2 linked regions of the Anolis sagrei genome follow. The protein of the gene in region 2 purifies or fractionates together with the protein of the main gene of each other region. This does not show direct contact. Links are inferred from orthologs where the notes say so. Each region holds a gene or a part of one and is shown on either strand. Other genes may lie near its edges. The genes, in order: SREBF2 and SCAP.

Evidence for each region.
Region 1: the proteins of SCAP (region 2) and SREBF2 purify together in Homo sapiens (affinity purification with western blotting; 3 studies listed by BioGRID and IntAct, with this or other methods). This does not show direct contact. The link is inferred for Anolis sagrei from reciprocal best matches to the Homo sapiens genes SCAP and SREBF2.

What each region holds. Positions count from the first base shown.
Region 1 is NC_090025.1:161,122,817-161,138,856, reverse strand, and holds the start of SREBF2 (sterol regulatory element-binding protein 2), read left to right. Parts: upstream 1-9,577; 5' UTR 9,578-9,754; coding exon 9,755-9,839; intron 9,840-16,040.
Region 2 is NC_090026.1:131,095,673-131,111,389, reverse strand, and holds the start of SCAP (sterol regulatory element-binding protein cleavage-activating protein), read right to left. Parts: upstream 7,219-15,717; 5' UTR 7,015-7,218; intron 1-7,014. UniProt on the Homo sapiens protein: Escort protein required for cholesterol as well as lipid homeostasis.

The sequences.
Region 1 (16,040 bases), on a different chromosome or scaffold from region 2:
TCTCGATGCTGCTCTTAATGGTCATAATATTGTCAAAAACAGTATTACCAGCGCTGCACAAGGCTTAATTGCCGAAAATGTCATGAAGTTGAAGACCTCGTTCTCTTTTCTTATGACAGACTAATCTGTTTTTCCCACCAATACTTGGACATATCGGTGATGCAGACTGCCATATAAATTCCTTTGTCCAGTGATGAAAGCAGGAAACAGTTTTGTCTGTGGCTTCTGACTTTTGACTTTTTGTTACAGTCCCTTCCCTCACTTAATACATGCTTTAATATGTTGGTGATGACCCTTATTTTGAAATGACAGGAGGACAAGAATCAAATGTACCACTGTTCTAATACAGAAGATAAAACAGAGAGTCTGACAATGTGATTTTGTTCTCTATTCTTACCATTACAAGTATACTAAAAAAACCTAGCAGTTGGGTATTCCTCTTCCAATCAGTGGAATTTTGAGGATGTGTTCTTGCTAATCTACTACCTTATTGTTCCAGGAAAAAACTGATTTTTTTCTTGACCTTCCAGCTGTTTCATGTTGGCTTCTTCCTAGAGCAGTGGTTCTCAACCTGGGGTCCTCAGATGTTTTTGGCCTAAAACTCCCAGAAATCCCAGCCAGTTTACCAGCTGTTAGGGTTTCTGAGAGTTGAAGGCTAAAACTTCTGGGGACCCACAGGTTGAGAACCACTGTCCTAGAGCTACGCAGTTAAGCTTTCAATTATGCTATTGCAGTGGTTCTCAACTTGTGGGTCCCCAGATGTTTTTGGCTTTCAACTCCCAGAAATCCTAACAGCTGGTAAACTGGCTGGGATTTCTGGGAGTTGTAGGCCAAAACACCTGGGGACCCACAGGTTGAGAAACACTGTACTATTGGCTTTATATTAGAGAAAGACTGACATTGGCCATAGTCAATGCTCTCTTTCCATTTCATATTTCTCCACTGATGAGTTGAATTGTGGATTCACACATTAACACATGAGCACACTCTGGGCATTTGGCCCCAAAATGACTCTGTTTTGGCACAATGGGTAGCTTTTGTCCAGGACTGGAATTGATCCAGACCAAGAAAAATCTCAAAATTCAGATGACTGGGGCATCGTACTTCCCCATCCTGTATGACCACTTGCTGTGCTATCACTCGGCACACATGTTACTTCTATCAAGGCCAGTTTTGGATAAAATTTTATTTTCAGGCCTTGAATGAATTGCACAGCTGTCTAGGGTAGCTTGCTCTTGCCAATGGAAGATTATTTTGTGAGGAAGGAGGGTATTTCTGTGGATGCTGCAGATTTCGATGTGCTGCCTTCAGGCTGTTTACAAGGCTAAAGATGGAGATTGCTTTTATTTTCTATGAAGAGAGATGGTTACGCTTTGTTTGTTTTTCCGATATGTATTTAAACTGGAAATTAACTTTGCGTTTCTTGAATAAAATTGAACGTTTTAAAAAACCACCCAAATCTGATGCCTAGTTCATGAACCGTTTGTGTTTTGGAAACACTGATAAAAGTCACATGCTCCTGTATCTGGTCACGAGAGATGACTGACTCCTCCTATAGATACAGATATAATATTATAAGCTGCCATATGAGATTTTAGAGTCTGTCACGACTTTAATTCAGAATATATTTGTTCTTCATTCTTCTGATTCTTCTAGCTCAGTTCTGGAGCAGTTGTAGGGATTCCTGAAACAATCTTTTAACTATTACATGGGAATACATTGCTTCTCATGCCCCGGGGGGGGGGGGGGGGGCTTTAAAGCATAAATGTTGACATCTATATAAATAAAAATGTACTGTTTGTTTGTGGGATTAACATAACTCAAAAAACACTGGACAAATTGACACCAAATTTGGACACAATACACCTAACAACCCAATGTATGTCCTTCACTCAAAAAAATGATTTTGTAATTTGGGAGTTGTAGTTGCTGGATTTATAGTACACCCACAATCAAAGAGCATTCTGAACTCCACCAATGATGGAATTTAACCACTCTTGGGACACAGAACTCCTTTGATCAACAGAAAGCACTAGAAGGGTTTCGTAGGCATTTAACTTGAGTTTGGGAGTTGTAGTTCACCAACATCCAGAGAGCACTATGGACTCAAACAATGATGGATCTGGACCAAACTTGGCACGAATATTCCATATGCCCAACTAGAAACACAGATGGAGCTTGGGGGAAATAGACCATGGCATTTGGGAGTTGTAGTTACTGGGATTTATAGTTCACCTACAATCAAAGAGCATTCTGAACCCCAAGAATGATAGAATTGGGGCAAACTTCCCATACAGAACCCCTATGACCAATAGAAAATACTTAAGGCCATCCAGTCCAACCCCCTTCAGGGCAAGAAAACTTAATACTGTTTACCCACAAGCATAAAGAAATTACATATATTAGAAACCAACACTTTCTCATTACTTTATTTTCCAGATCACCAGACTGGGCCATAGCAACGCGTGGCAGGGGGCAACTAGTTCATTATAAATGCTTCATAGTATCCTCAGTATTTGGTTTTCTTTAAATACATTTTAAGTACTATAGCTACTGGCCCAAAATATTAGTATTTTGGAATTTAAATGGTTGCTATATTAAACTCTACGGCACCTATCAGCTGCAAATTAACTTTCAAATGAGCTTTGTTTCAGGGCTTGTTGAAGCACAAGTTGGATTGTAAACCTTTTCTTGCATTTTCTAGCTATGGACTTGCAGTGATCTCATGTCCCGTTATAACACTGTTGCCTCCTTGTCTAACTGTTTTTTAAGTGTTTTCACTAGCTGATATTTGGAAAATGAAGATAATCTAAATCATGGCCCTTTTTCATTCTTTTTGTTTTAGACAGTGATTCCATACCCCTTTTACAGCAGGCTGCACTCAGGGAAACGATAGCTGGGTGAGGGAGAAACAACCTGCATAAACAAACCTACACAGAGAAAAACATTATATTGAGTCATTATTTCAGCCTGGTGGTGCAGCAGGTTAAACCGCTGAGCTGGTGAACTTGCTGACCAAAAGGACGCCTGTTCAAATCTGGGATCAGGGTGAGCTCCCACTGTTAGCCCAGTTCCTGCCAACCTAGCAGTTCAAAAACATGCAAATGAGAGTAGATCAATAGGTACCACTTTGGCAGGAAGGTACCGGCACTTCATGCAGTCATGACCTTGACATGTCTATGGACAATGCCAGCTCTTCGGCTTAGAAATGGAGATAAGCACCATTCCCCAGAGTCGGACACGAATAGACTTAATGTCAGGGAAAACTTTACCTTTACTTTCATTGTTTGGTAAAATACTTGCAATAGAAGATTTACAAACATTTTTGCACTCTTATTGTTGCAGTATTCAAGTGTATCTTTTATTAAAAGCCTAAGTGCATGTGCTTTTTTGGTCTTTTTCATTTTTATTTTATGTTTTATTGTGGTAGATTGATCAATGCTTTATGGTTACTTTATTCAACACATAAATGCTAGATTTGGCATTTTTTCTTTATTGGCAGTTCTTATCAACAAGAAATGTGTCCATATTTTTGTTTTTAATTTTTCTGTGTCTCCTGTTTCTGCATCCATTAGTACAGTATTTGGACACCAAGACACTAGAAGCATATGAAGAATGTAAGCCTAAATTTTATTTATTTTGATGGAGAGTAATCCATTATGCCTAAAAATGGCTGCTTATATTCAAATTATTTGTTGTTGTTTTTGTTTGTTTCCAACTTATGGTGACCTTAGGCAAACTTAGCACAGGGTTTTGTTTGCAATATTTGTTTAGAGGGGGGTTGCCTTTTCCTCTTCTGAGGCCGAGACAGTATGACTTGCCCTAAATCACCCAGTGTGTTTCATGGATGAGCAGGGATTCGAATCTCAGTCTCCAGAGTCATCATCCTAACACTCAAACCACTATAACATGCTGGCACTGTTTATATTTTAACCCCAGAAATAATCATGCTCCAATTGACTTTCTGTATTGTGTTGCTTCCGTGAATCTGAAATAATAGGGCCAAGGAGGAATAGAAAAAGGGTTATGCTTGGTAAAGGACTGCCATGAACACACTTATTCCCGAAGCTGTACCTGAGAATGTTAAAGAAGCTCCAGCTATTGCTTTAATTCTTAAATTTCTTGCTATCTCTTGTGAAAATATGGCATGATTTAGTTGGTGGTGATGGTGGAGGGGAAGCTATAAAGTTGCAGAACAACATTTTATCTATAGTTAATGCTGGCTGAATTCCAGGAAAAACTCTCCTATCAATGTTAAAGATATGGAAAGGTTAATATGTTTTTACAGTGATAGAGCTTTTATTATTTTCAGTTTACCTTAGAACAGCGTTTCTCAACCTGGGGGTCAGGACCCCTGGGGAGGTTGCCAGGGTGTGTCAGAGGGGTCGCCAAAGACCATCAGAAAACACAGTATTTTTCTGCTGGTCATGTGGATTCTGTGTGGGAAGTTTGGCTCAATTCTATCGTTGGTGGAGTTCAGAATGCTCTTTAATTGTAGGTAAACTATAAATTCCAGCATCTACAACTCCCAAATATCAAGGTCTATTTTCCGCAAACTCCACCAGTATTATGAACTCATTGCACTATGGACTCATCATTGTTGGAGTCCATAGTGCTCTCTGGATGTGGGTGAACTACAACTCCAAAACTCAAGGTCAGTGCCCACTAAACCCTTCCAGTATTTTCAGTTGGTCATGGGAGTTCTGTGTGCCAAGTTTTGGTTCGATTCCATCATTGCTGGAGTTCAGAATGTTCTTTGATTGTAGGTGAACTATAAATCTCAGCAGCTACAACTCCCAAATGACAAATCAATCCCTCCAATCCCACCAGTGTTCAAATTTGGGTGTATCGGGTATTTGTGCCAAATTTGGTCAAGTGAATGAAACTACATCCTGCGTATCAGATATTTACATTATGATTCATAACTGTAACAAAATTACATTTATGAAGTAGCAGCAAAAATAATTTTATGGTTGGGGGGCCACCACAACATGAGGAACTGTATTAAGGGGTTGCTGCATTAGGAAGATTGAGAACCACTAGCTAAGAGGAACTCTTAGTGAGTTGTGTTGACTGTACATAAATGGTGTGAGGGTTGTTTTCAAACATACATAAAAATAAATAACTCTAAAGTACAGTTCCCAGTGACCAATGTCTCAAGAAAATTCTCTTAGAGCTTAAATTAAAATTAAACCCATAATTTGAGGAGAGGAAAGATGGACTTGCTTTGAAATCCGATGGTATCCATACAGCAAGTGGATGGCACATAGACATTTATAAAATGGTTAATAAAATTTGATAAGTCATTAAACCATTGGGAACGTTTTATGTAATTGTACCATGCTGTCACCATATAATGTATTGGTTTGAAATTGCATCCATTATTTTGAAATACCCTGTATATCTTGCTCAAAGTACTCAATTTCTCATGGGCTTGGAAAGCAACTAGTGAGTCATTCATTACACAACAGATGTTTAGGTGGGTGATGTGGAAAAGTAAAACGTTGGTTGTGATGTGAAATGTTTTTTTAAGGAGACAGCACAGAATGCCTCTTTCCTCGCTCACAGTTATGAGAAATGCAGTTGTGAATATGGACCTAAACTTTTTCATCAAAATATCTAGCCTAAGGGTGTCAAACTCATTTTCCTCAAGAGCCACATCAGCCCTGTGGTTGCCTTCAGAGCACCGTTGAATCTATGGACAGAGAATCCATGGATACAGAAGGTCCACTATAATTTTTTAAAAGGAGTGGTCAGTGCTCTTCTGTTTATACCCTATTTGCATTCTAGATCTTATTGAATGAGAGCTCTCATCACTTTTCATTATTTGCCATACAGACCTAGTAATAATGGGAATAGCAACCCAACAACACTTGTGGCTCTGAGGTTGGGGAAAGGTTAAAGAGCATTTGAAAGTCAGAAATCATATCCACAAGCCTTCTATCTAAATTCAAACCCCACTATCCTGACAAAACAGGACAATCTGCAGCGTTTCAGATTTATTACAACTCCCATCAGCTCTAATCATGTTGTCTAATGATGAGGAATACAGAACTGTATGTAGTCTAGCATCTGGAGGGCCACATAAAATGGCATGGAAGGCCAGATCTGGCCCATGGGCCTTGAGTTTGACATGTGATATAACCAATTTAGATCCTGGACAGTGCATTTTGTTGCAGATTTGCATGGTGATCCCTCTGTAGACGGAACGTCTGTGCAGTAAAGTTCTGTTTGCTGAAACTATTGAAAGAAATATGCAGTGTGTGCAATGTTCCATGACATTGTTTTCACTGCACTAAAGTAGAAAAACTTGATGTTTCCCATCAGCCCATAGTGATGGATGGTTGCAGTTTTTATCTATGCATTCTGCTCTTTGGAGGAGCAACTCTGCGGATGGGTGGAGCACCTATTAATTTTTGGGTTTGAGGGCTTGAGTTTAGCTATTAGATTATAGCTGTGTACTAAATGGGAAATTAAAACACATTATTAGTAGGAAGGAGCCCCTGGTGGTGCAGTGGTTTAAACCGCTGAGCTGCTGAACTTGCTGATCGAAAGGTCACAGGTTCGAATCCGGGGAGTGGGGTGAGCTGCTACTGTTAGCCCCAGCTTCTGCAAACCTAGCAGTTCGGGAAAAAATGCAAATGTGAGTAGATCAAGAGGTCCCATTCTGGCGGGAAGGTAATGGCACTCCATGCAGTCATGCTGGCCACATGACCTTGGAGGTGTCTACGGACAATGCTGGCTCTTCGGCTTAGAAATGGAGATGAGCTCCAACCCCCAGTCAGACACGACTGGACTTAATGTCAGGGGAAAACCTTTACCTTTACTATTAGTAGGAAAAGGGAGGAAATGGAACACTGCTGTGTTTTCCCATTGTTCCTCTTTTTGTTTTACTTGTCTAAAAAGGTGTATAATCTTTTGGCATTTTAATGCTCGACAGATTATATTATGGCACACCCTTTCCTAGACGTATGAATCATTATTCTAAACTGACAAGTGTATTGTCCTCTCCATACATGGGCATATAGACAGAGATTATAAATAGTGGGGCCAAATACTTATCACATGTGCAACTTGTGACTGTGAGCTTTCAGAAAATTCTCCATCTCCAAGTAGAACATCACTCCTATCTCAAAATATGAAGCACAAACATTCTGGCTATACCATCAAGCTACTTGCTAGCTGTCTTTCCCTCCTTCTTTTCACCTCACTTGATGAAAAGGTTTTGGAGAATTAGAAAACATAAGGAACTAAAACTCGTCAATTAAGTATAACACCTGAATTCAATTTATGATTTTCCTGGCAGAGTTACTGCTATGCCACTTAGTGGTTCTGAGTTAATTCTCAGTTCTGCTCCCATTAATCAAGAAACCACAAGGTTAGTCCCAAGAAGATGGTTCTTCTCAATCTATCCAGGTTATGACCATACAGTGCATTATGCAAATAACAGAATCAGCCTCACGGGACACTGGCCGAAGATACATTTGACACTTTCGCTGAAGTACAATGGCATCACAGATTGTACCAAAACAAACTAAATATATGTGATGCTGCAAATCCTTACTATATATATATAAGTATGCTTATTTATATATATGTTTGAACCACTAAGGCTCTTATATGGTTTGATGAGTCTGAACCAAACTTGACACACATACCTCATGATTCAAGTTAAAATAATTGAGAGAAGGTGGTGGTTGTGGTGGTCTGATTGGAACTGTAGTCCACCCACACTTGGAAAGCCATGTAAATCCCACCAGTGGTGAACCTGGATCAAACTAAACACACATACCCATCATGACCAACTTAAAAATACTAGCAGGGTGTGTAGGAATTGTCAGAGGACAATGGGAGTTACTACTCTGAGGATTGTATACTATTGAACCGTGACAGTTAAAAGCAGTTTCAAACTGCATTAATTCAACAGTGTAAGATGCACTCTCAGAGACTGATGGCTCAATCTATCTATATAAATAAAAATGTAATGTTCGTTTGTGGGATTAACATAACTCAAAAAGCACTGGGTGAATTGACACCACATTTGGACACGATACACCTATCAGGCCAACGAGCAACCATCACTTATAAAAACACTGAAAAACACAGAAGAGACTTAAAAAACAAAAATTACATTACAATACATGCGCAAAACTACACACACACATATATATGTATATGCAAATACACATAAATGCACATATAAACAAATACACACACACACACACACAAAACACATATACACAGGGGATGGCTAGTCTATATAAATAAAAATGTAATGTTCGTTTGTGGGATTAACTCAAAAACCACTGGACAAATTGACACCTAATTTGGACACAATACACCTATCAGGTGAACGAGTGACCATCACTCATAAAAACACTGAAAAACATAGCAGAAGAGACTTAAAAAGCCAAAAAAACTAAAATTACATTACAACTCATGTGCAAAACTACATTTATATGCAAACACACATATACACTAACTGGGCCACAACAATGTGTTGCAGGGGATGGCTAGTCTATATAAATAAAAATGTAATGTTCATTTGTAGGATTAATATAACTCAAAAACCACTGGACAAATCAACACCAAATTTGGACACAATACATCTATTAGGCGAACGAGTGACCATCACTCATAAAAACACTGAAAAACACAGCAGAAGAGACTTAAAAAGCCCAAAAACAAAAATTACATTACAACTCATGTGCCAAACCACATTTATATGCAAACACACATATACACAACTGGGCCGCAACAATGCATGGCAGGGGATGGCTAGTCTATATAAATAAAAACGTAATGTTCATTTCATATATATTCATATATACACAAACACACATATACACGAATATATATGCATACATACACACACAAAACACATATACACAGACTGGGCCACAGCAATGTGTTGCAGGGGACAGCTAGTCTATATAAATAAAAACATGATGTTCATTGCATATATATGGTCATATATATGATCATATAAACACAATCACACACATATCTACACATATACACAAATATATATGCATATGCACACACACACAAAACACATATACACAGACTGGGCCACAGCAACGCATGGCAGGGGAAGGCTAGTACTAAATAACAGGCCTGGGCCAACTTGGGCCCTCCCTCCAAGTGTTTTGGACTTCAACTCCCACCCTTCCTAACAGCCCTAGGCCCCTTCCTTTTTCCTCTCAGCCGCTTAAGGAAAAGGAAAGGGTCTGAGGCTGTTAGGAATTGTGGGAGTTGAAGTCCAAAACAGCTGGAGGGAGGGCCCAAGTTTTGCGGTGCCCAACTGTGGAGTTGTGTGGCTTTTCTCGAGGACCAGTATATAATACAGCTCTTAAATGGCCAGGCCACTTCTGAATAATTCATGAGCTCCCCGCCTCCTTCATGCATATTCAAATCCGGGAAGGCCCAACAGGCGAGGGACGGGCGGGGGATGCCCCTCATGTCCAAAGCCAAGCTGCTGATCGCTGACGCGCCATCACACCACGAGCCGCTCCGCGCGCTGATTGGTCGAGGCGGACCTGGTCTCATTGACAACCAGCCCGGCGCGCGCTCCTGGCAGGTGGAGGGGCGGGGCCTCGGCGAAGGAGGGAGGCCCAAGATGGCGGCGGCCTGTGAGGCCGGGAGCGCAGGCAGCCTCCGCTGAAGCCGCGCCCGGTTGGAAGGAGGAAGAGGAGGAGGAGGAGGAAGGGTTCAGGTCCCGGGTGTCGCCGGCGCCTCCGAGGCCGCGCTGGCCATGGAGAGCGGCGAGCTCAGCAGCATGGAGACCATGGAGACCCTAACGGAGCTGGGCGACGAGCTCACGCTGGGAGACATCGACGGTGAGTCCCTCTCCCGCGCCCCCCTCAGGAGCAGGCCGGAAGTGCATCCACACGGCGGAATTAATGCAGTTTGACACCACTTTGATTGCCAGGCCTCGATGCTGTGGAGTTTGGTGAGGCTCCAGGATTCTTTGGCAGAGAAGGTTAAAGAACTACAACTTCCCTGAGTCTATAAAACAGGCATGGGCAAACTTGGGCCCTCCAGGTGTTTTGGACTTCAACTCCCACCATTCCTAACAGCCTACCCACTGGATTGCTATAGGTTTTCGGGGCTGTATGGCCATGTCCCAGAAGCATTCTCTCCTGATGTTTCACTCACATCTGTGGCAGAGGTTGTGAGACTTCTTGGAAACTAGACAAGTGAGGTTTATATATCTGTGGAATGTCCAGGGTGGAAGAAAGAACTCTTGTCTGCTTGAGGCAAATGTGAATGTTGCAATTGGCCACCTTGATTAGCATTTAATGGCCTTGCAGCTTCAAAGCCTGGCTGACTGCTTCATGGTGAAATCCTTTGGAGGTGTTAGCTGGCCCTGATTGATTCTTGTATAGAATTCCCCTGCTTTTTGAGTGTTGCTCTTTATTAACTGTCATAATTTTTGAGTTTTTTTAATACTGGTAGCCAGATTTTGTTCATTTTCATGGTTTCTTCTTTCTGTTGAAATTGTCCACATGCTTGTGGATTTCAGTGGCTTCTCTGTGTAGTCTGACATGATAGTTGTTAGACCAGCTGTTAGGAATTGTGGGAGCTGAAGTCCTAAACACCTGGAGGGCCCAAGTTTGCCCGTGCCTGTTCTATACTACTGAGCCCTGGCAGTTAAAGTGGTGCCAAACTGCATTAATTCTACAGCGTGGACATTCTGTACTTTTAAAAAAAGTTTTGTCTGAAGGAGTGGATTGTTTTTGCTTGAAGCCCCATCCCACCCAGTTTTCCATATTGATAGACTCCAGAATTACTATTACAATACGATTACAGTAGGGTGAGACAAAAGTCACAAAGTGGTTTCTGCATTTAATAACTCCTTTTTGTTTTTAATTTACCATGCCATAGTATTGTATACCATATATACAGAAAATACATTTACATCACTTGTGAAAAGTAAAATCTTGTAAAAGGCATCTAATACTAATACTACTACTACTACTACTACTACTAATAATAATAATAATAATAAAGCTTTGTGTGCTACCACCATCTCTCTGAAGGGAGTTGGGGCAGCTCACAGAAGAATATACCCGCAGTCACCAAGTTACAAACAAAATAGGATCTGTAGGTTTGTTCTTAAGTTGAACTTGTATGTAAGTTGGTAAGTGTAACTCAGCCCAACATATATATTTATTAGCTTTGGGTTGCATAGGGAATGGTTAATGCACTGCCTTGGTGTTTGTTTTATGTCTGTGCCACTGTGCAGAAGATTTTGCTTGTGAAAGCCAGGTTTTTTTTGTGTCAGGAGCTACTTGAGAAACTGCAACTTGCTTGTGGTGAGAGAGAATTAATTGGCCGTCTGCAAGGACGTTGCCCAGGGGACGCCTGGATGTTTTAGCACCCTGTGGGAGGCTTCTCTTGTGTCCCCACATGGGAAGCTGGATCTGACAAACGGGAGCTCACCCCACTCCCTGGATTTGAACCGTAGACCTTTCAACAGTCCTGGCAGCACAAGGATTTAACCCATTGCGCCACTGGGAAATCCAGCCGGGCAGTGAAGAGAACTAGGTCTGCTAAAGAGAAGAATAAATGGGTCCTAAATTAAGCTGGAACTTTCCCTAGAAACCAAGATGACTCAACTGAGACTGTCGTATTTTGGCCTTGTCAGGAGAAGACATGACTCACTGGAAAATATTATGCATGGAAAGTGGAGGATATTAGGGAAAGAAGGAAGACTGCATTCCTGAGAGATAGCCTCATTCAATGAAGCCTGGGCGGCCCTGACTTGAATAAGGTGGTGGAGGATAGGGCAACATGGGAGTCTCTCATTCATGTGGTCACCATAAGCCATAGAATTATAGAATTGAAAGAGACCACAAGGGCCAACCAGTCCAACCCTCTGCCATGAAGGAAAAGCACAATCAAAGCACCCCCAACAGATGATCATCGAGCCTCTATCAGACTCTGAGGCAGCAAGTACCACTGCAGAACAGCTCTTATAATCAGGAAGTTCTTCCTAATGTTTAGGTGGAATCTCCTTACTTGTCACTTGTACCCTGGTTTCTAGGGCAGCAGAAAACAAACCTGCTCCCTCTTCCTTATGACAGCCTTTCCAAGTTGACTTGGGGGCAATTAACAGCAAAAACATATCCAGAAGATGAGGAAATTTTGGACTTAGTTGTGTCATTTTGCTGGTGCTATTGCTACACTTGTGGATACTAAGGATACATATCAAATATATGACAAATGGAATTATTGAGTCTGTTGGGTGGACACACATATGTAAATGGTAGCCTAGTATTAACTGGTGTTACACAGCAGTGAGTCATAGTGAGATTTCTGGGAAAATATTGTGGTGTGACTGGCATCTTGGGGGCATACTGATGAGGCATTCTTTGGGCTGTAATGGTTTAAGGTGTGACATAAGAGTTTTGCTTATTTCTCTTGATTCACTTGGATATAGTTGGTGGTCGCTGTTTGCATTTTGGAGGTCTAATTAAGGTCTTATTGTTAGTAATGTTAGAAAGTTTTAGTAATATTGCAGCCAAATTTAGTAAGCCAGAATTATACCTGAATTTGAGAACAGGGAAGTACAGTACTTTAAAACCTATTATAGTCATTGAACTACAGGGGTGACTATCACCTCCATAAACTTGCCAAGAAAAAAAATTGGAGTAATCTCAGAATGGTACTTTTCAACAAACTCACGATATTTTTTTGAGATTCTACATTTACAGTATTCCTTAGTGATATGTCATGCAAAGCAATTGATAAAAGTAATGGAGAAGAATCACATTCTTAAGTAATTGTAAATACTTACTTAGGCGATCCCTCGCTTTCCGAGGATGATTGTCTTCCAATATTCTTGTGGGTCCGTATGTGGCTGTGGAGCCCTATTCTTGCTCTGCATCTTCTTCCGCAGTGAGGGCATTGGTTTCCAGGTGGAAGGCGGTCTCGGCTGGGGTTGGCTTGACGCGCCTTCCTCTTGGCACGTTTCTCTTTTTCACCCTTTACTCGTGCCTCCTCAAATTCTGCAGCATTGCTGGTCACAGCTGACCTCCAGCTGGAGCGGTCAAGGGCCAGGGCTTCCCAGTTCTCAGTGTCTATGCCAGAGTTTTTAAGGTTGGCTTTGAGCCCATCTTTAAATCTCTTTTCCTGTCCTCCAACATTCCGTTTTCCGTTCTTGAGTTCGGAGTAGAGCAGCTGCTTTGGGAGACGGTAGTCGGGCATCCGGACAACATGGCCGGTCCAGCGGAGTTGGTGGCGGAGGACCATCGCTTCAATGCTGGTGGTTTTTGCTTCTTCCAGCACACTGACGTTTGTCCGCTTGTCTTCCCAGGAGATTTGCAGGATTTTCCGGAGGCAGCGCTGATGGAATCGTTCCAGGAGTTGCATGTGACGTCTGTAGACAGTCCACGTCTCACAGGCATAAAGCAGGGTTGGGAGGACAATAGCTTTATAAACAAGCACCTTGGTATCCCTACGGATGTCCTGGTCCTCAAACACTCTCTGCTTTATTCGGAAAAATGCTGCGCTTGCAGAGCTCAGGCGGTGTTGTATTTCGGTGTCGATGTTGACCTTGGTGGAGAGGTGGCTGCCAAGGTAGCGGAAATGATCAACATTTTCTAATGTTACACCATTAAGCTGTATCACTGGCATTGGAGAGGGGTTGGCTGGTGCCTGCTGGAAAAGCACCTTGGTTTTTTCAATGTTCAATGACAAGCCGAGCTTCTCGTATGCTTCTGCAAAGGTGTTGAGAGTGGCTTGTAGATCTTCTTCTGAATGCGCACAGACGACGTTGTCATCAGCATACTGCAGTTCTATAACAGATGTTGTTGTAACCTTGGTTTTGGCTTTCAGTCTGCTGAGGTTGAATAGCTTGCCATCTGTCCGATAGATGATTTCCACTCCGGTGGGAAGCTTCCCATCAACAAGGTGAAGTATCATAGCGATGAAGATGGAGAATAGAGTTGGGGCAATAACACATCCCTGTTTGACACCCGATTCCACCTTAAATGGGTCACTTTCAATAGTCATTGAACTACAGGGGTGACTATCACCTCCATAAACTTGCCAAGAAAAAAAATTGGAGTAATCTCAGAATGGTACTTTTCAACAAACTCACGATATTTTTTTGAGATTCTACATTTACAGTATTCCTTAGTGATATGTCATGCAAAGCAATTGATAAAAGTAATGGAGAAGAATCACATTCTTAAGTAATTGTAAATAATGGTAGTAGTATAATACTTCATAAGGAACAAAAGTCTACCATTTTGTAGTTGCAACATCTGCTCTCTTTAAAAGTGCTTGCTGAACACTAGCTTTTCACAAACTGTAGAGAGCAGTGCGTACAACTAGCAATTCTATCCATATTCTCCCAAAACCATGTTACACTGAAAGGATACACCATACCACACATACACAGTTATACCAGGAAGATGCAGCTTTAATAATACTTAAAAAGAAGTAGCCAAGGGTATGCGTCTCTGTGTTAACCCTCCCACAACCACAGTATATATCAGTGGTTCTCAGCTTGTGGGTCCCCAGGTGTTTTGGCCTACAACTTCCAGAAATCCCAGCCAGTTTACCAGATGTTAGGATTTCTGGGAGTTGAAGGCCAAAACATCTGGCACTGGTATATATGTTTTACACTGAGGCCCTAATACTACTAGATACTTCACCTGAAGAAATTGGTTTATATCCAAGGGAAAGCTTGTATTAAAATAAAGACACCTAGTTTTAAGGGTGGTGCCAATTTCTTTTCTTTCCACCCCCCTTCCTCCTCCTTATTAAAATGGTTATCCAAATTTGAGTTAAGGTGTTTATATCTGCACTGCTTTCAAGTTCACTTTTTTACCTTAATTGTTTTACTAGTAACATTCTGGCTTAACAAACACCAACAATATACATGTTGTGCTGTGAAGAGAAAGTAGTTTTCTGCTCCTCATTTTAAAACTGAAATGCTAACGTAGTCCCTATATCTTGTCCAATTTAGGTTGACTAAAATAGGAATATCCAACATTTTAAAGTTTCTTTTGCTGAAACACTTATTTCCTTGTTACGTCCACTTGGCTCACTTTTGTACATTACTTGCAGTCTTAGTATTTATACACTTTCCAACTGGATAAATAACCGAGGTGGAAAATACATTATTTGCCAAAAAGGGAAAAAGGGTTTTCTTGAGATGTGACTCTAGAAGTGCTGGAAATAACTATTTGAGGTGTGTGGGAAGGTAAAATAAAAGTTAGATTTTCTTTGAAGACATATTTTGAAAATTTCAGGGTGCTTTTGTCATGCTGTCACCACACTTCATTCATGGAACCTTACCTGGGTTGGGGTTCTCAAAGTCATAATTTTCAATTGTCATCTCATGTTTTCCAACTACAGTGTTCCCTTGCTACTTTGCTGTTCGTTTTTAGCGGACTCACTGTTTTGCGGGTTTTTGAAAATATTAATTAAAAAATTAAATATTTACGTCTAGTGGAGGCCAGGGAGGCCAGAGCCTGGAAGTGAGGTGGCCTGAGGTGTAGTGAGGAAGGCCTGGCTCCCTGGCCTGCTGCTGCCTGTGTGGCTCCGAAGGCTCTGTGGAAGCCAAGGAGGCAGGTGCCCTTGGGATGGGCCGGGAGGTGGTTAAGGAAGGGCGGGTAAGAAAATAATATATAAAATAATGTATAAATATTAATATAGCATCCCTACTTTGTGGATTTTCGCTTATTGCAGGCGGTCCTGGAATGGAACCCTTGCGATAAGTGAGGGAACACTGTACTATACTTTTTCTTTCCACAAAGCTCTATCAAAGAAGAAAAGATGGGTTAGCTGTACAATGCCTTTTGAGTAGTAGCTCTAAAAGACTTCTTGTTTGGAAGTTCCCAACATGGCAAGGGTGTTGCATTATTTTGATGTGATGATTATTATGCTATATTACTATTATTTAAATATTTTTTCAGTTGAGTTTGTAATAGTAAAATTTTGGTCAGTAAATTAAGAGGCAAATCTGTCATTACTTCCTGATACTGTTAGAGTACCAGTATAATATGTACAGTATCTTGTTCAAG
Region 2 (15,717 bases):
TTCTAAAACTTATTGTAATAATAAGGGAGAAAAATATGTTAATTATGCAAAGGCCAAGTTGACAAATACATGAGTAAAGATTCTATTAAATGAGCATCAACTCACTGATTAAAATGTGATAATTACAGGCGTGCAATAGAAGAGTGCTATATTGACAAAGTACTCCCTGTATTTGAAAACAAACAACCTATCATTAGTTAATGTTTCCTAGAATTAGTCCTTACTAGTAGCCTAACTGTGTTGTCATGGTACAAGCTAATGTTCTGCAAGGGAATGAGATGTAACAGGCACACAAGAGCTAAAGAAATAATAATAATAATAATAATAACCATAACAACAACACTTTATTTGTACCCCGCTACCATCTCCCGAAGGTACTTGGTGCGGTTTACATGAGGCCCAAATACAACAATACAAGAAGTAAAACAACAATACAAGTAATAAAAATTAAAAAAAAAACATAGACAATAAGATATACAACATTATCAATAAGACAGCACACAATTAAAAACAGTGGGAAGGCCAAATGTAAAATTAAAATTGGAAGTGATGCTGGGACATGGACGAAAAGTTGATAGTGGTGCTTGTGGAAGGGCATACGAGCAGACCTAAAGAAATGTAAAGTGCTTTGGAGGACAAAGTGCTATGGGATCATTATTCCGGGAAGGCACACTGGAACGACCACGTCTTCAAGTTCCTCCTAAAGACTGCCAGAGTTGGGGCCTGTCTGATGTCTTTAGGGAGTGAGTTCCAGAGTTCTAGGCTAGCAACATTCATATTTTAACAGTTTGAGGTTCTCCAACTTCATAATATCATGTTCTGCATACAAATAATTGCACAGAATTTAGATTAATATATCTCTTTTGTAAATTTCATGTATTTACCAGATGCAGGATATATCAGAATGGTATCATACTTTCTATCCTCAAGGCAGTATGATGCAAAGTTGATTCCAAGGGTAAACATCTGCATGTTATTTTATAAGCAAATTATGATATCAGATAAATCTAGCAGACACAGACACCACCCACTTTGGTTAGGTTTGGATCCTACACATGCATATTCAATTTCTGTTTTGTCTTTCCTTGCAAATAAAAGGCCAGTGTGACTTAAAAACCAATTAAAAACACCATTGCAAATACATATAAATACGATATTAAAATCCATATTAAGATTTAATCTGATTATGCATCAAGGCATACAGACAAGTATAATAAACAGATTGTCGGAAATCTCATCTATTTGCATCTGAGCAGGGCTTGACATGCCATCCTGACCAGCACCATTTTTTGAATGCCATCCACACGCCTGAAATCCCAGTTGCCCCCAGCCCTGACTCACACATTTACGCACAATGAGCTTGAACAAATACACAGGAAGAAACTGTGATGGTGAAATCTGCAGTGACTCAGAGTGGAGGTGAAGAGTGCTGCCAAGGTGTATTTTCCACTGGCTTCACAACGCAACCTGAGTCCTGTTCACAGACACAGTATCTCCACATAGTTGCACATTAGCAGAGATGTGAAGAGGGCAAACCATCAATCAGGAAGGCCCTGGGCTGAATCTTGCCTGGGTTATTTGCTCCCATGGGTCTCTGGCAAACTACTCTCTCAAATGATTTCACCATCAGATATATGAGTGCTAATACCTTAGAGACAAGGTAGGCTACTTATAACAAATACTTTTAATAAACAAAGTTTACAGGATTTGTTTTAAGGGTTGCGATTGTTTCCAAAGCCCTCTGAATATTTAAAAGTCCTGCAAAAATGGCGATTATTTTATTTCTATATGAAAGGGATGGTTAATGAAATCTTCTACAACTTTAGACCTTCTACTACTCACAAGTGGCAATATATTTCCCAACCACTTTGCAGATTTTGTTTATTTATTTATTTACTATATTTGTATACCGCTCTTCTCAGCCCTCAGGCGACTCAGAGCGGTTCACAATAGCAAAATTCAATGCTTAAAACATCATAAACAGTTAAAAACAATTAAAACAATAGCATTATAACAATCAATTAATAATAATAATAATAATAATAATAATAATAATAAACCTTTATTTATACCCCGCTACCATCTCCCGAAGGACTCGGTGCAGCTTACAAGAGGCCGAGCCCAAATACATCAGTAAAAACAACAACAACAATACAGACAATAAATAAAATCATAAACAAAGCAGTAAACATTAACAATAACACCATGATGCATTAAAAACCTGTGGCAGGGCCAAATGTAGTAATTAAAAATTTAAAAATAATGCTGGGCATGACCAGGTGACATATAACTAGGATAGGTATTTGGAGAGGGATGGAGCGAGCAGACAATCCTAGATCACTAGTAAAGTGCATTTAGGGACATATTAGGGACATATCCTATATTTGTTACACTGCCTATTCAAATGCCTGCTTGAACAACCAAGTCTTCACTTTCCTCCAAAATGCTAACAGAGAGGGGGGCGATCTAATTTCTGCAGATAGGGCGTTCCACAGCCAAGGGCCACCACTGAGAAGGCCCTGTGTCTCGTCCCCGCCAGATTCTTTCACCATCCCACACTCATAAGATCCAACAATTGCCACTAAGAACAACTGCAGACAAGATTACAGAACTAATTTATCACACTCAAATAAAGTTTCTATGGAAAGCTCTTGTCAGTTTCAGCCCTACATCCAGCCATGGAAGTTGATGGTTGATCTCAGACCCGTTCCTACTTTTTAGGCCCTTGTTCTCATTTAGATGGACAAATGGACAATAAACAGAGGCTGGATGGCCATCTGTCAGGGGTGATTTGAATGCAATATTCCAGCTTCTTCATAGGGGGTTGGACTGGATGGCCCATGAGGTCTCTTCCAGCTCTTTGATTCTATGTGTTTCCAGGCTGGAAGTAGATGGAGAAGGCTCCCAAGAGGCAATCTTCCCTTAGAATCATAGAATCATAGAATCAAAGAGTTGGAAGAGACCTCATGGGCCATCCAGTCCAACCCCCTGCCAAGAAGCAGGAATATTGCATTCAAATCACCCCTGACAGATGGCCATCCAGCCTCTGCTTAAAAGCTTCCAAAGAAGGAGCCTCCACCACACTCCGGGGCAAAGAGTGGTTCTTAACCAGTGGTTCTCAACCTGTGGGTCCCCAGGTGTTTTGGCCTGCAACTCCCAGAAATCCCACCCAGTTTACCAGGTGTTAAGATTTCTGGAGTTGAAGGCCAAAACATCTGGGGACTTATAGGTTGAGAACCACTGCCCTAAACAAACCACATGCAAAGTGGAAACCCTGCTTAATCGGGAGCAAATTATGCCAGTCTCCTTTCCTTGATATGCTCAATTTATTGATTTGTCAGTTTGGTGAGGGTAATGAAAATAACAATACACAGAGCCACTAACCAGCCATGGAAACAGAAAGGTCCAAGAGTCAGAATGGCCACCTCCATCCAAACTAGGCCAGTTGGTATAACCTGCCTGACAGGTAGATATTCACTGTGTAAATGTTTGAAGAAGGGGGAAAACAATGAGCATGTTATCAGCAATTTGGGCCTGAGAGGGAGAAACCTGACAGATTCACAGCCACCCACAGGCCTAAACTTTCAAAAGAGATAAGGAAGAGATAGAAATGTTGGGCCAGCTCCAAGGTTTGTTCAATCAACCAAAACCCAGGTCTCCAGGCTAAGTGTATAAGGTGCATATGAAACTTAAATTAACTAATTAACTAATGTAAATTAACCAGGGTTCTATTTCCAAAATATTTCATGATGTATATCCAAATATTCCAATATCCAAGGGGGAAGATTAGAGTATCCCTTTAATCAGAATTTCAAAATCCAAAATTGTCCCCCTGGGTGTTTGAGAGAGTGGCACGTTTCCTTTCTGGAGATTCAATGTACACAAGCCTTGTTCTGTTCACAAAATTATTAAAAATATTGTGAATAACACTGTCTCCAAGGTATTGTCGAAGGCTTTCATAGCCAGAATTACTGGGTTGTTGTGATTTTTCTGGGTTGTATGGCCGTATTCCAGAAGCATTCTCTCCTGACATTTCGCCTGCATCTATGGCAGACATCCTCAGAGGTTGTGAGGTCTGTTGGAAACTTATTTGTACCCCGCCTTTCTCAACCCCCCAGGGGGCTCATAAATGCTTCTGGCATGCACATATGTGGTGGGAATGTCCAAAGGCAAAAACATTTTGAGAACAAATAACAGAAAAAATGGAGAAAATATTTAAGATACCACTTCAAATAAATATGGAGTTGATGTTCATGGGAATATTAGGAAACAAGAAAATCAATCCAAAATATCAAGATTTCTTCAAAGCAATGATTCTTGCTTCTTCAAAGCAATGATTCTGTGATAGCTTGGGGTTGGAAAGATGCAAAAAAACCGAATATGGCTAATTGGAATAAATATTTGTTTGACCAGATCCAATCAGAAATTATTGCAAATGTAACCTGTGAGGATATGAAGGAAGATAAAATGAGGAAAATTAAAGAGAAATGGTTCATATATTCAGAATAGATAAAAAGAGGCGAAGCCAATGTAAATATTGTACAGTGATGGGAAAAGCTGAGCTCATGGATGGAGTTAAAGTTCTAATGGAAATGTGGTATTTGGGGTGGGGGGGGGGGAGGGAAGGGAAAAAACAAAAACAAAAGAGTGAATGAACTCTAAGACATACTAGATAAGTGTGTGGATAATACTGAATGGAGGAGGTGGAGGATAATGGTGTAGACTTGTGGTTATAGACGACATGCATGTGAACATCCTGCGGCTCCTCCATGATGACAACAGTCTTGGACAGCAATGGCTCCCAAAGTGACCCATTTAAGGTGGAATCAGGCATCAAACAGGGATGTGTTATTGCCCCAACTTTATTCTCCATCTTCATCACTATGATACTTCACCTTGTTGATGGGAAGCTTCCCACCGGAGTGGAAATCATCTATCGGACAAATGGCAAGCTCTTTAACCTCAGCAGACTGAAAGCCAAAACCAAGGTTACAACAACATCTGTTATACAACTCCAGTATGCTGATGACAACGTCATCTGTGCACATTCAGAAGAAGATCTACAAGCCACTCTAAACACCTTCGCAGAGCATAGGAGAAGCTCGGCCTGTCATTGAACATCAAGAAAACCAAAGTGCTCTTCCAGCAGTCACCAGCCAATCCCTCTCCAACGCCAGAGATAAAGCTTATTGGTGTAACATTACAAAATGTTGATCATTTCCACTCCCATGGCCACCACCTCTCCACCAAAGTCAACATTGACACTGAAATACAACACCGCCTGAGCTCTGCGAGTGCAGCATTTTTCCCAATGAAGCAGAGAGTGTTTGAGGACCGGGGCATCGGTAGGGAGACCAAGGTTTATAAAGCTATTGTCCTCCCAACCCTGCTATACACCTGTGAGAGGTGGACTGTCTACAGACATCACATGCAACTCCTGGAACGATTCCATCAGCGCTGTCTCCGGAAAATCCTGCAATTCTCTTGGGAAGACAAGCGGACAAACGTCAGCATGCTGGAAGAAGCAAAGACCACCAGCACTGAAGCGATGGTCCTCCGCCATCAACTCCGCTGGACCGGCCACGTTGTCCGGATGCCCGACCACCGTCTCCCAAAGCAGTTGCTCTCCTCTGAACTCAAACAAACTAGTCCAATGTGGGCTAGGCAAAACTACGGTGAGATGGATCAGTAATTGGTTAAATGGACGAACGCAGAGGGTGCTCACCAATGCTTCCTCTTCATCTTGGAAAGAAGTGACTAGTGGAGTGCCATCAGCAGGGTTCTGTCCTGGGCCCGGTCCTGTTCAACATCTTTATTAATGACTTAGATGAAGGGCTAGAAGGCAGGATCATCAAGTTTGCAGACGACACCAAATTGGGAGGGATAGCCAATACTCCAGAGGACAGGAGCAGGATTCAAAATAATCTTGAGAGATTAGAGAGATGATTGGCCAAAACTAAAAAAAAATGAAGTTCAACAGGGACAAATGCAAGATACTCCACTTAGGCAGAAAAAACGAAATGCAAAGAGACAGAATGAGGGACGATGAGGCCTGGCTCGAGAGCAGTACGTGTGAAAAAGATCTCGGAGTCCTCGTGGACAACAAGTTAAACATGAGCCAACAATGTGATGTGGCGGCAAAAAAAAACCCCAATGGAATTTTGTCCTGCATCAAGAGGAGCCTAGTGTCTAGATCTAGGAAAGTCATGCTCCTCAGGCTCTATTCCGCTTTAGTTAGACCACACCTGGAATATTGTGTCCAATTCTGGGCACCACAACTCAAGAGAGAGATTGACAAGCTGGAATGTGTCCAGAGGAGGGCGACTAAAATGATCAAGAGTTTGGAGAACAAGCCCTATGAGGAGCGGCTTAAGGAGCTGGGCATGTTTAGCCTGAAGAAGAGAAGGCCGAGAGGAAATATGATAGCCATGTATAAATATGTGAAAGGAAGCCACAGGGAGGAGGGAGCAAGCTTGTTTTCTGCTTCCCTGGAGACTAGGACGCAAGGGAACAATGGCTTCAAACTACAAGAGAGGAGATTCCATCTGAACATGAGGAAGAGGAAGAACTTCCTGGCTGTGAGAGCCGTTCAGCAGTGGAACTCTCTGCCCCAGAGTGTGGTGGAGGCTCCTTCTTTGGAAGCTTTTAAACAGGGGCTGGATGGCCATCTGTCAGGGGTGGTTTGAATGCAATATTCCTGTTTCTTGGCAGAATGGGGTTGGACTGGATGGCCCAGGAGGTCTCTTCCAACTCTAGGATTCTGTGATTCTATGTAAACATTACAATCAAACCGAAGATCACCTAAAACCCATTCAAATATTGTAACTACAACACTGAAACGGCTTCCCAGGCTGGTTCCTAATCGCCATTGAGGAAGGAGGAGTTCAACAGGTCGAGGCCTCCCTCAAAGGGTCCCCAAAACAGGCCCAAAGGGAGCCTGATTGGGAGTAGTGCGGCTCCCCTCAGCCCCAGGCGCGGCCTACGGAGCCTCCCTCTCTCCCTTCCCCTTCTCACCTCAAAAAAAGACGGGGAACAGCTCTCCAACCGCCTCCTTCCTTCCTTTCTTCCCCTCCGCGCCTCCTCACACGCCGCCCGCTTTCGCCTTCTCCTCGTTCTCCTCCTTCGCCGCTTCCCGGCTTCCGTCGCTCCGCCTCTTTTTCGTGCGCATGCGTAGAAAGAGCCCGCGAGTAAGGGAGGAACAAACCCTTTCCGCCATTTCTCCTGCCCTAGACTTCAACCTTTTGCGCGCATGCGCCACCGGGTGTTTTTTTTTTCTCTTCTGCTCTGCTAAGCCACGCCCTCCGCTCGCTGATGCCAACTGCTGCAAAAGCTTCCGCTTGGTCCTAGCGCCGGGACGAAGATTGTGCGCATGCTCCAGGAAGAGCCTTAAAGCTGTCATGGGAGTAACTCCAGCTATATAACCTATCTCTACACATAACAATGTTTGTTTGTATTTCTCAAAATTGCTTGCTTTTCGTTCATTTACAAGGATTTAAGACAAAATATTATGGTTTTCTTCATCATCCTCATCATCAATAATAATAATAATTTCCTTCCTCTATTCCTAGGATTTGGCAAACCTTGCACCTAGAAAACCTGATTGGTGAGTATAAGCAGTAATCTACATAAATAATCAAGAGAAGGTGGCAAGACTATACAGAAGATCTGTATAGGAAGGATAATAATATCGAGGAGAGTTTTGACGGTGTGGTGAATGAATTAGAACCAGACATCCTGAGGAGTGAAGTGGAATGGGCCTTAAAAACAAAGATGGCAGGGACCTAACAGAAGCTGAAGAGATCAAGAGAAGGTGGCGAGACTATACAGAAGATATGTATAGGAAGGATAATAATATCGAGGAGAGTTTTGACGGTGTGGTGAATGAATTAGAACCAGACATCCTGAGGAGTGAGGTGGAATGGGCCTTAAAAACAAAGATGGCAGGGACCTAACAGAAGCTGAAGAGATCAAGAGAAGGTGGCGAGACTATACAAAAGATCTGTATAGGAAGGATAATAATATCGAGGAGAGTTTTGACGGTGTGGTGAATGAATTAGAACCAGACATCCTGAGGAGTGAGGTGGAATGGGCCTTAAAAACAAAGATGGCAGGGACCTAACAGAAGCTGAAGAGATCAAGAGAAGGTGGCGAGACTATACAGAAGATATGTATAGGAAGGATAATAATATCGAGGAGAGTTTTGACGGTGTGGTGAATGAATTAGAACCAGACATCCTGAGGAGTGAGGTGGAATGGGCCTTAAAAACAAAGATGGCAGGGACCTAACAGAAGCTGAAGAGATCAAGAGAAGGTGGCGAGACTATACAGAAGATATGTATAGGAAGGATAATAATATCGAGGAGAGTTTTGACGGTGTGGTGAATGAATTAGAACCAGACATCCTGAGGAGTGAGGTGGAATGGGCCTTAAAAACAAAGATGGCAGGGACCTAACAGAAGCTGAAGAGATCAAGAGAAGGTGGCGAGACTATACAGAAGATCTGTATAGGAAGGATAATAATATCGAGGAGAGTTTTGACGGTGTGGTGAATGAATTAGAACCAGACATCGTGAGGAGTGAAGTGGAATGGGCCTTAAAAACAAAGATGGCAGGGACCTAACAGAAGCTGAAGAGATCAAGAGAAGGTGGCGAGACTATACAAAAGATCTGTATAGGAAGGATAATAATATCGAGGAGAGTTTTGACGGTGTGGTGAATGAATTAGAACCAGACATCCTGAGGAGTGAGGTGGAATGGGCCTTAAAAACAAAGATGACAGGGACCTAACAGAAGCTGAAGAGATCAAGAGAAGGTGGCGAGACTATACAGAAGATCTGTATAGGAAGGATAATAATATCGAGGAGAGTTTTGACGGTGTGGTGAATGAATTAGAACCAGACATCCTGAGGAGTGAGGTGGAATGGGCCTTAAAAACAAAGATGGCAGGGACCTAACAGAAGCTGAAGAGATCAAGAGAAGGTGGCGAGACTATACAGAAGATCTGTATAGGAAGGATAATAATATCGAGGAGAGTTTTGACGGTGTGGTGAATGAATTAGAACCAGACATCCTGAGGAGTGAGGTGGAATGGGCCTTAAAAACAAAGATGGCAGGGACCTAACAGAAGCTGAAGAGATCAAGAGAAGGTGGCGAGACTATACAGAAGATCTGTATAGGAAGGATAATAATATCGAGGAGAGTTTTGACAGTGTGGTGAATGAATTAGAACCAGACATCCTGAGGAGTGAGGTGGAATGGGCCTTAAAAACAAAGATGGCAGAGACCTAACAGAAGCTGAAGAGATCAAGTGAAAGTGGCGAGACTATACAGAAGATCTGTATAGGAAGGATAATAATATCGAGGAGAGTTTTGACGGTGTGGTGAATGAATTAGAACCAGACATCCTGAGGAGTGAGGTGGAATGGGCCTTAAGAAGCATTGCTAACAACAAGGCAGCAGGAGACGACGGGATCCCAGCTGAACTGTTTAAAATCTTAAAAGATGATGCTGTCAAGGTGATGCATGCCATATGCCAGCAAATATGGGAAACACAAGAATGGCCACCAGACTGGAAAAAATCAACTTATATCCCCATACCAAAAAAGGGAAATGCGAAAGACTGCTCAAACGTACAGTGGCCCTTATTTCTCCTCATGCCAGGAAGGGAATGCTCAAGATCCTGCAAGGAAGACTCCAGCAAGACATGGAGCGAGAGTTGCCAGATGTTCAAGCTGGGTTTAGAAAAGGCAGAGGAACGAGAGAGGAACCAGATTGCCAATATCCGGATGCTGGAGAATGGAGAAAGGCAGGAAGTTTCAGAAAAACATCTATTTCTGTTTCGTTGACTATTCCAAAGCCTTTGATTGTGTAGGTCACAATAAATTGTGGCAAGTTCTTGGTGGTCTGGGCATACCAAGCCACCTTGTCTCTCTCCTGAGGAATCTGTACAAGGACCAAGGAGCAACAGTCAGAAGTGACCACGGAACAACAGACTGGTTCAAGATTGGGAAAGGCGTCCGGCAAGGCTGCATCCTCTCACCCAACCTTTTTAACTTGTATGCAGAACACATCATGCGAGGATGTGCGGGGCTTGAGGAATGCAAAGCTGGGGTGAAAATGGCTGGAAGAAACATTAACAACCTCAGATATGCAGATGACACCACTCTGATGGCCGAAAGCGAGGAGGAGCTGAGGAGCCTTCTAATCAAGGTGAAAGAAGAAAGCGCAAAAGCTGGGTTGCAATTAAACATTAAAAAAACCAAGATTATGGTGACAAGAATGATTGACAACTGGGAAATAGAGGGAGAAAATGTGGAGGCCGTGACAGACTTTGTATTTCTAGGCGCAAAGATGAGTGCAGATGCAGACTGTGGCCAGGAAATCAGGAGACGCTTCCTTCTTGGGAGGAGAGCAATGTCCAGTCTCGATCAAATAGTCAAGAGTAGAGACATCAGACTGGCAACCAAGATCCATTGCCTAGTCAAAGCCATGGTCTTCCCTGTAGTCACCTACGGATGTGAGAGCTGGACCTTAGGGAAGGCTGAGCGAAGGAAGATCGATGCTTTTGAGCTGTGGTGTTGGGAGGAAAGTGCTGAGAGTGCCTTGGACTGCGAGAAGACCCAACCAGTCCATCCTCCAGGAAATGAAGCCTGACTGCTCACTGGAGGGATGGATAGGAGAGACAAAGTTGAAGTCCTTTGAATGCCACATCATGAGAAGAAAGGAAAGCTTAGAGAAGACAATGATGCTGGGGGAAATGGAAGGAAAAAGGAAGAGGGGCCGACGAAGGGCGAGGCGGATGGATGGCATCCTTGAAGTGACTGGATTGACCTTGAAGGAGCTGGGGATGGTGACAACCAACAGGGAGCTTTGGCGTGGGCTGGTCCATGAAGTCACAAAGAGTCAGAAACGACTGAACGAATGAACAATTCCTAAATTGCTGATTTTACCCAGCTGGTGTGGTGCTTAAAGTCATCAGAGGTGATTCTGCTCGGGAGTGTGTCAATTCCACTCTTGTGCGACTGAATGTGCAATGGTGCAGCTCAGCTGCGCACTTTCCTGTTGTGCAAGAGTTAATCCAGCTCCGCACCTGCCATTGAATACTTACCAAACTTCCCACACAATGGGGCAAAGCTTGTGTCCTCATCCCAGGGCTTACTCAATGGCCTTGGCACAAACGAAAGAACGTCTCATTACTTATGTAATAGCACTTATGACATGAGGAAGAACAAAGGGATTAAGATTTTGGCCATGACAGAAGATGCAGAAGCATTGCACTATCCGTCCTCCACACTTGTGGACTTTTGCAGATTTATCTCGGGGTGCATCTTCACTACAGAATGAATCCAGTTTGACACCACTTCAACACTCATGGGCACATGCTGTTGGATCCTGGGAGTCGTAGTTTTGCAAAGTCTATAGCAGGCATGGACCAACTTCGATCTTCCGGGTGTTTTGGACTTCAACTCCCACAATTCCTAACAGCATACCGGCTGTTAGGAATTGTGGGAGTTGAAGTCCAAAACACCTGGAGGACCAAAGTTTGCCCATGTCCGCCTTAACCCTACCAAACATGGAAGGCTGATAAGAACTCTGTTTACATTGCCATGTAATACAGTTTCAAACTATATTATATATCAGTATAAATGAGGTCTAGATGTTTGTATCCCACTTGTGATGCAGATGCCGCTGGAGGAGGAGCCATATAGTTTAATACTATTTTAATACTGTATATATATATTCGTTTGTGGGATTAACGTAACTCAATAACCACTGGGTGAATTGACACAAAATTTGGACACAAGATACTGATCAAGCCAACAAGTGACTATCCTGCATAAAAACACAGAAAAATACAGCAGAAGAGACTTAAAAAGCCAAAAAAACAACAAAAAATACATTACAACGCATGCGCAAAACCACATATATGCACAAACACACATATATACAAATATATACAGACATATATGCACACACAAAACACATACACAGAAAGGGGAAAGGAGGGAGAGAAGGAGGGAGAGAAAGAAGGAGAGAAGGAAAGAAAGAAAGGTAGAGAAGGCTGGAAGGAGAGAATGAAATAAAAAAGTGAAAGAGGGAAGGAGGGAAGGAAGGAAAGGGACAAGGAAGGATGGAACCAAAAAGCAAAGGAAGTGAGAAAAGAAACAGAGAAGGAAGAAAGAAGAAGGGAAAGAAAAAGAGGGAGGGAAGGAAGGAAGGAAGGAAAGAGGGAGGGAGGGAGGGAGGGAGGGAGGGAGGGAGGGAGGGAAGGAAGGAAGGAAGGAAGGAAGGAAGGAAGGAAGGAAGGAAGGAAGGAAGGAAGGAAGGAGAGAATGAAATAAAAAAGTGAAAGAGGGAAGGAAGGAAGAAGAGAAGGAATGAAAGAGAGAAATAGGGAAGGAAGGAAACAGACAAGGAAGGATGGAACCAAAGAGCAAAGTAAGCGAGAAAAGAAACAGAGAAGAAAGAAGGAAGAAGGGAAAGAAGAAGAGGGAAGGAAGGAAGGAAAGAGGGAGGGAAGGAAGGAAGGAAGGAAGGAGAGAAAGAAAGGAGACAAAGAGGGAGGGAAGGTTGGCCACAGCAACGCGTGGTGGGTGAATCTAGTGTATATACATAAGCTGTATTGCAATGCTTTTAGTTATGAGCCACTTTGAGTTGCCACATGAAGAGAAAAAGTGGGATGTAAACAAACACAGTAATGATAATAATAATAATAATAATAATAATAATAGTCCCATCCCATGCTATGCAGGAAGACACAATCAAAGCACCCCTTACAGATGGCCATTCAGCCTGTATCTTCTACTAGAACAGCATTTCACAAACTAGGGGTCGAGACCCTTGGGGGGGTCGCGAGGGGGTGTCAGGGGGGTCATCAAAGACCACCAGAAAAAACATATTTCTGATGGTTTTAGGAATCGGGTTTGGTGCAGATCCATCATTGTTTGAGTCCACAGTGCTCTCTGGATATAGGTGAACTACAACTCCCAAACTCAAGGTCAATGCTCACCAAACCCTTCCAGTATTTTCTATTGGTCATGGGAGCTCTGTGTGCCAAGATTGGTTCAATTCCATTGTTGGTAGAGTTCAAAATGCTCTTTGATTGTAGACGAACTATAAATCCCAGCAACTACAACTCCCAAATGTCAAGGTCTATTTTCCCCAAACTCCACCAGTGTTCACATTTGGGCATATTGAGTATCTGTGCCAAGTTTGGTCCAGATCCATCATTGTTTGAGTCCACAGTGCTCTCTGGATATAGCTGAACTACAACTCCCAAACTCAATGTCCATGCTCACCAAACCCTTCCAGTATTTTCTATTGGTCATGGGAGCTGTGTGTGCCAAGATTGGTTCAATTCCATTGTGGAGCTCAGAATGCTCTTTGATTGTAGGCAAACTATAAATCTCAGCAACTACAACTCCCAAATGTCAAAGTCTATTTTCCCCAAACTCCACCACTGTTCACATTTGGGCATATTGAATATGTGTCAAGTTTGATCTAGATCCATCATGGTTTGAGTCCACAGTGCTCTCTGGGTGTAGGTGAACTACAACTCCCAAACTCAAGATCAATGCTCAGCAAACCCTTCCAGTATTTTCTGTTGGTCATGGGAGTTCTGTGTGCCAAGATTGGTTCAATTCCATTGTGGAGCTCAGAATGCTCTTTGATTGTAGGCAAACTATAAATCCCAGCAACTACAACTCCCAAATGTCAAGGCCTATTTTCCCCAAACCCCACCAGTGTTCACATTTGTGCATACTGAGTATCTGTGCAAAGTTTGGTCCAGATCCATCATTTTTGAGTCCACAGTGCTCTCTGGGTGTAGGTGAACTATTTATTTATTTACAGCAGTGTTTCTCAACCTTGGGTCGGGACCCCTGGGGGGGTCATGAGGGGGTTTCAGAGGGGTCGCCAAAGACCACCAGAAAACACATATTTCTGATGGTCTTAGGAACCCTTTTGGCAGAGAAGGCTGAAGATCTCTCTGCCTGTCCTCATCCGTGTTGGTGAATGACAATCCCCAACCCCACCAGTAGTTAATGTTGGTCATGTTGGTAGTGTGCCATGTTTGGTGCACATCCATTTTGGGGTGGGTTCAGAGTGCTATTTGATTATAGGTGATCTATAAATCCCAGCAATTACAACTCCCAAATGTCAAGGTCTATTTTCCCCAAACTCCACCAGTGTTCACATTTGGGCATATTGAGTATTCATGCCAAGTTTGGTTCAGATCCATCACTGTTTGAGTCCACAATGCTCTCTGGATGTAGGTGAACTACAACTCCCAAACTCAAGGTCAATGCCCACCAAACCCTTCCAGTGCTTTCTCTTGGTCATGGGAGCTGTGTGTGCCAAGATTGGTTCAATTCCATTGTGGAGCTCAGAATGCTCTTTGATTGTAGGCAAACTATAAATCTCAGCAACTACAACTCCCAAATGTCAAAGTCTATTTTCCCCAAACTCCACCAGTGTTCACATTTGGGCATATTGAGTATTCATGCCAAGTTTGGTTCAGATCCATCACTGTTTGAGTCCACAATGCTCTCTGGATGTAGGTGAACTACAACTCCCAAACTCAAGATCAATGCTCACCAAACCCTTCCAGTATTTTCTGTTGGTCATGGGAGTTCTGTGTGCCAAGTTTGGTTCAATTCCATTGTTGGCAGAGCTCAGAATGCTCTTTGATTGTAGGTGAACTATAAACCCCAGCAACTACAACTCCCAAATGATGAAATCAATCCCCTCCAACCCCACCAGTATTCAAATTTGGATGTATTGGGTATTTGTGCCCAATTTGGTCCATCTTGCAGATTAGATATTTACACGACAATTCATAACAGCAGCAAAATTACAGTTATGGAGTAGCAACGAAAATAATGTTATGGTTGGGGGTCTCCACAACATGGGGAACTGTATGAAGGGGTCGCGGCACTAGGAAGGTTGAGAAGCCCTGTAATTGAAGATGGGTTTTCCCCCAAAGGGCTGGAGCTTTCCAAGAAGGGAGCGAGAAAGCCTTTCCTCCTTCCTTTCCCACTGGTGCATTCCACGGCAGAGTGTCCCCTTTTGGCCTTGGGTCAAGTCCCTTTGCCCTGCGCTTGAACCCTGTCCCGGGACACAGGCTGCCACCCTGCCATCAGGCTTGGAGCCAGCTCTCCTTGTATTCACAGATTCAGATCAGGTTCCTTTGCTGACTCTGGCGCCGCTCCGATTGCGTGCCCCGACTCCCCGTCTGCAAAGCATTTCACTCTTTCGAGTTATCTTTTGAGACCGGCGTCCTCGCCTGCAAGGATTCCAGCCAGGCAACTCAGCCGCTCCATGAATATTGAGGTGCTAAACCTTGCCCGGTACCTGGTTATCTATGCCTATCAGTACCAGGTTGTTTGCCTTGGCAGATAAAGCCAGACACAGGCGTGTCCCCAGGGTAGGCCTTCCATTTGGTCTTCTTTGATGTAATCCTTCCTGCAGAGAAAACAGGAATGCCAATGTTTTGGAATAATCTGAATGTCGGATGGAGGAATGGGTTCAATCCCTGCTCAGCCATGCAGTTTCCATGGATGCATCTACACTGCATATTTAATTAATGCAATTAGACACCACTTTAATGCTCCCTTGATGTCACAGCATCGAGCCTTGGCTCTTAAAGTGGTGTCAAGCTGCAATAGTTCAACTGTGCAGCTGTGCCCATGGGAACCTATTGGGAAGCCTTGGGTAGGT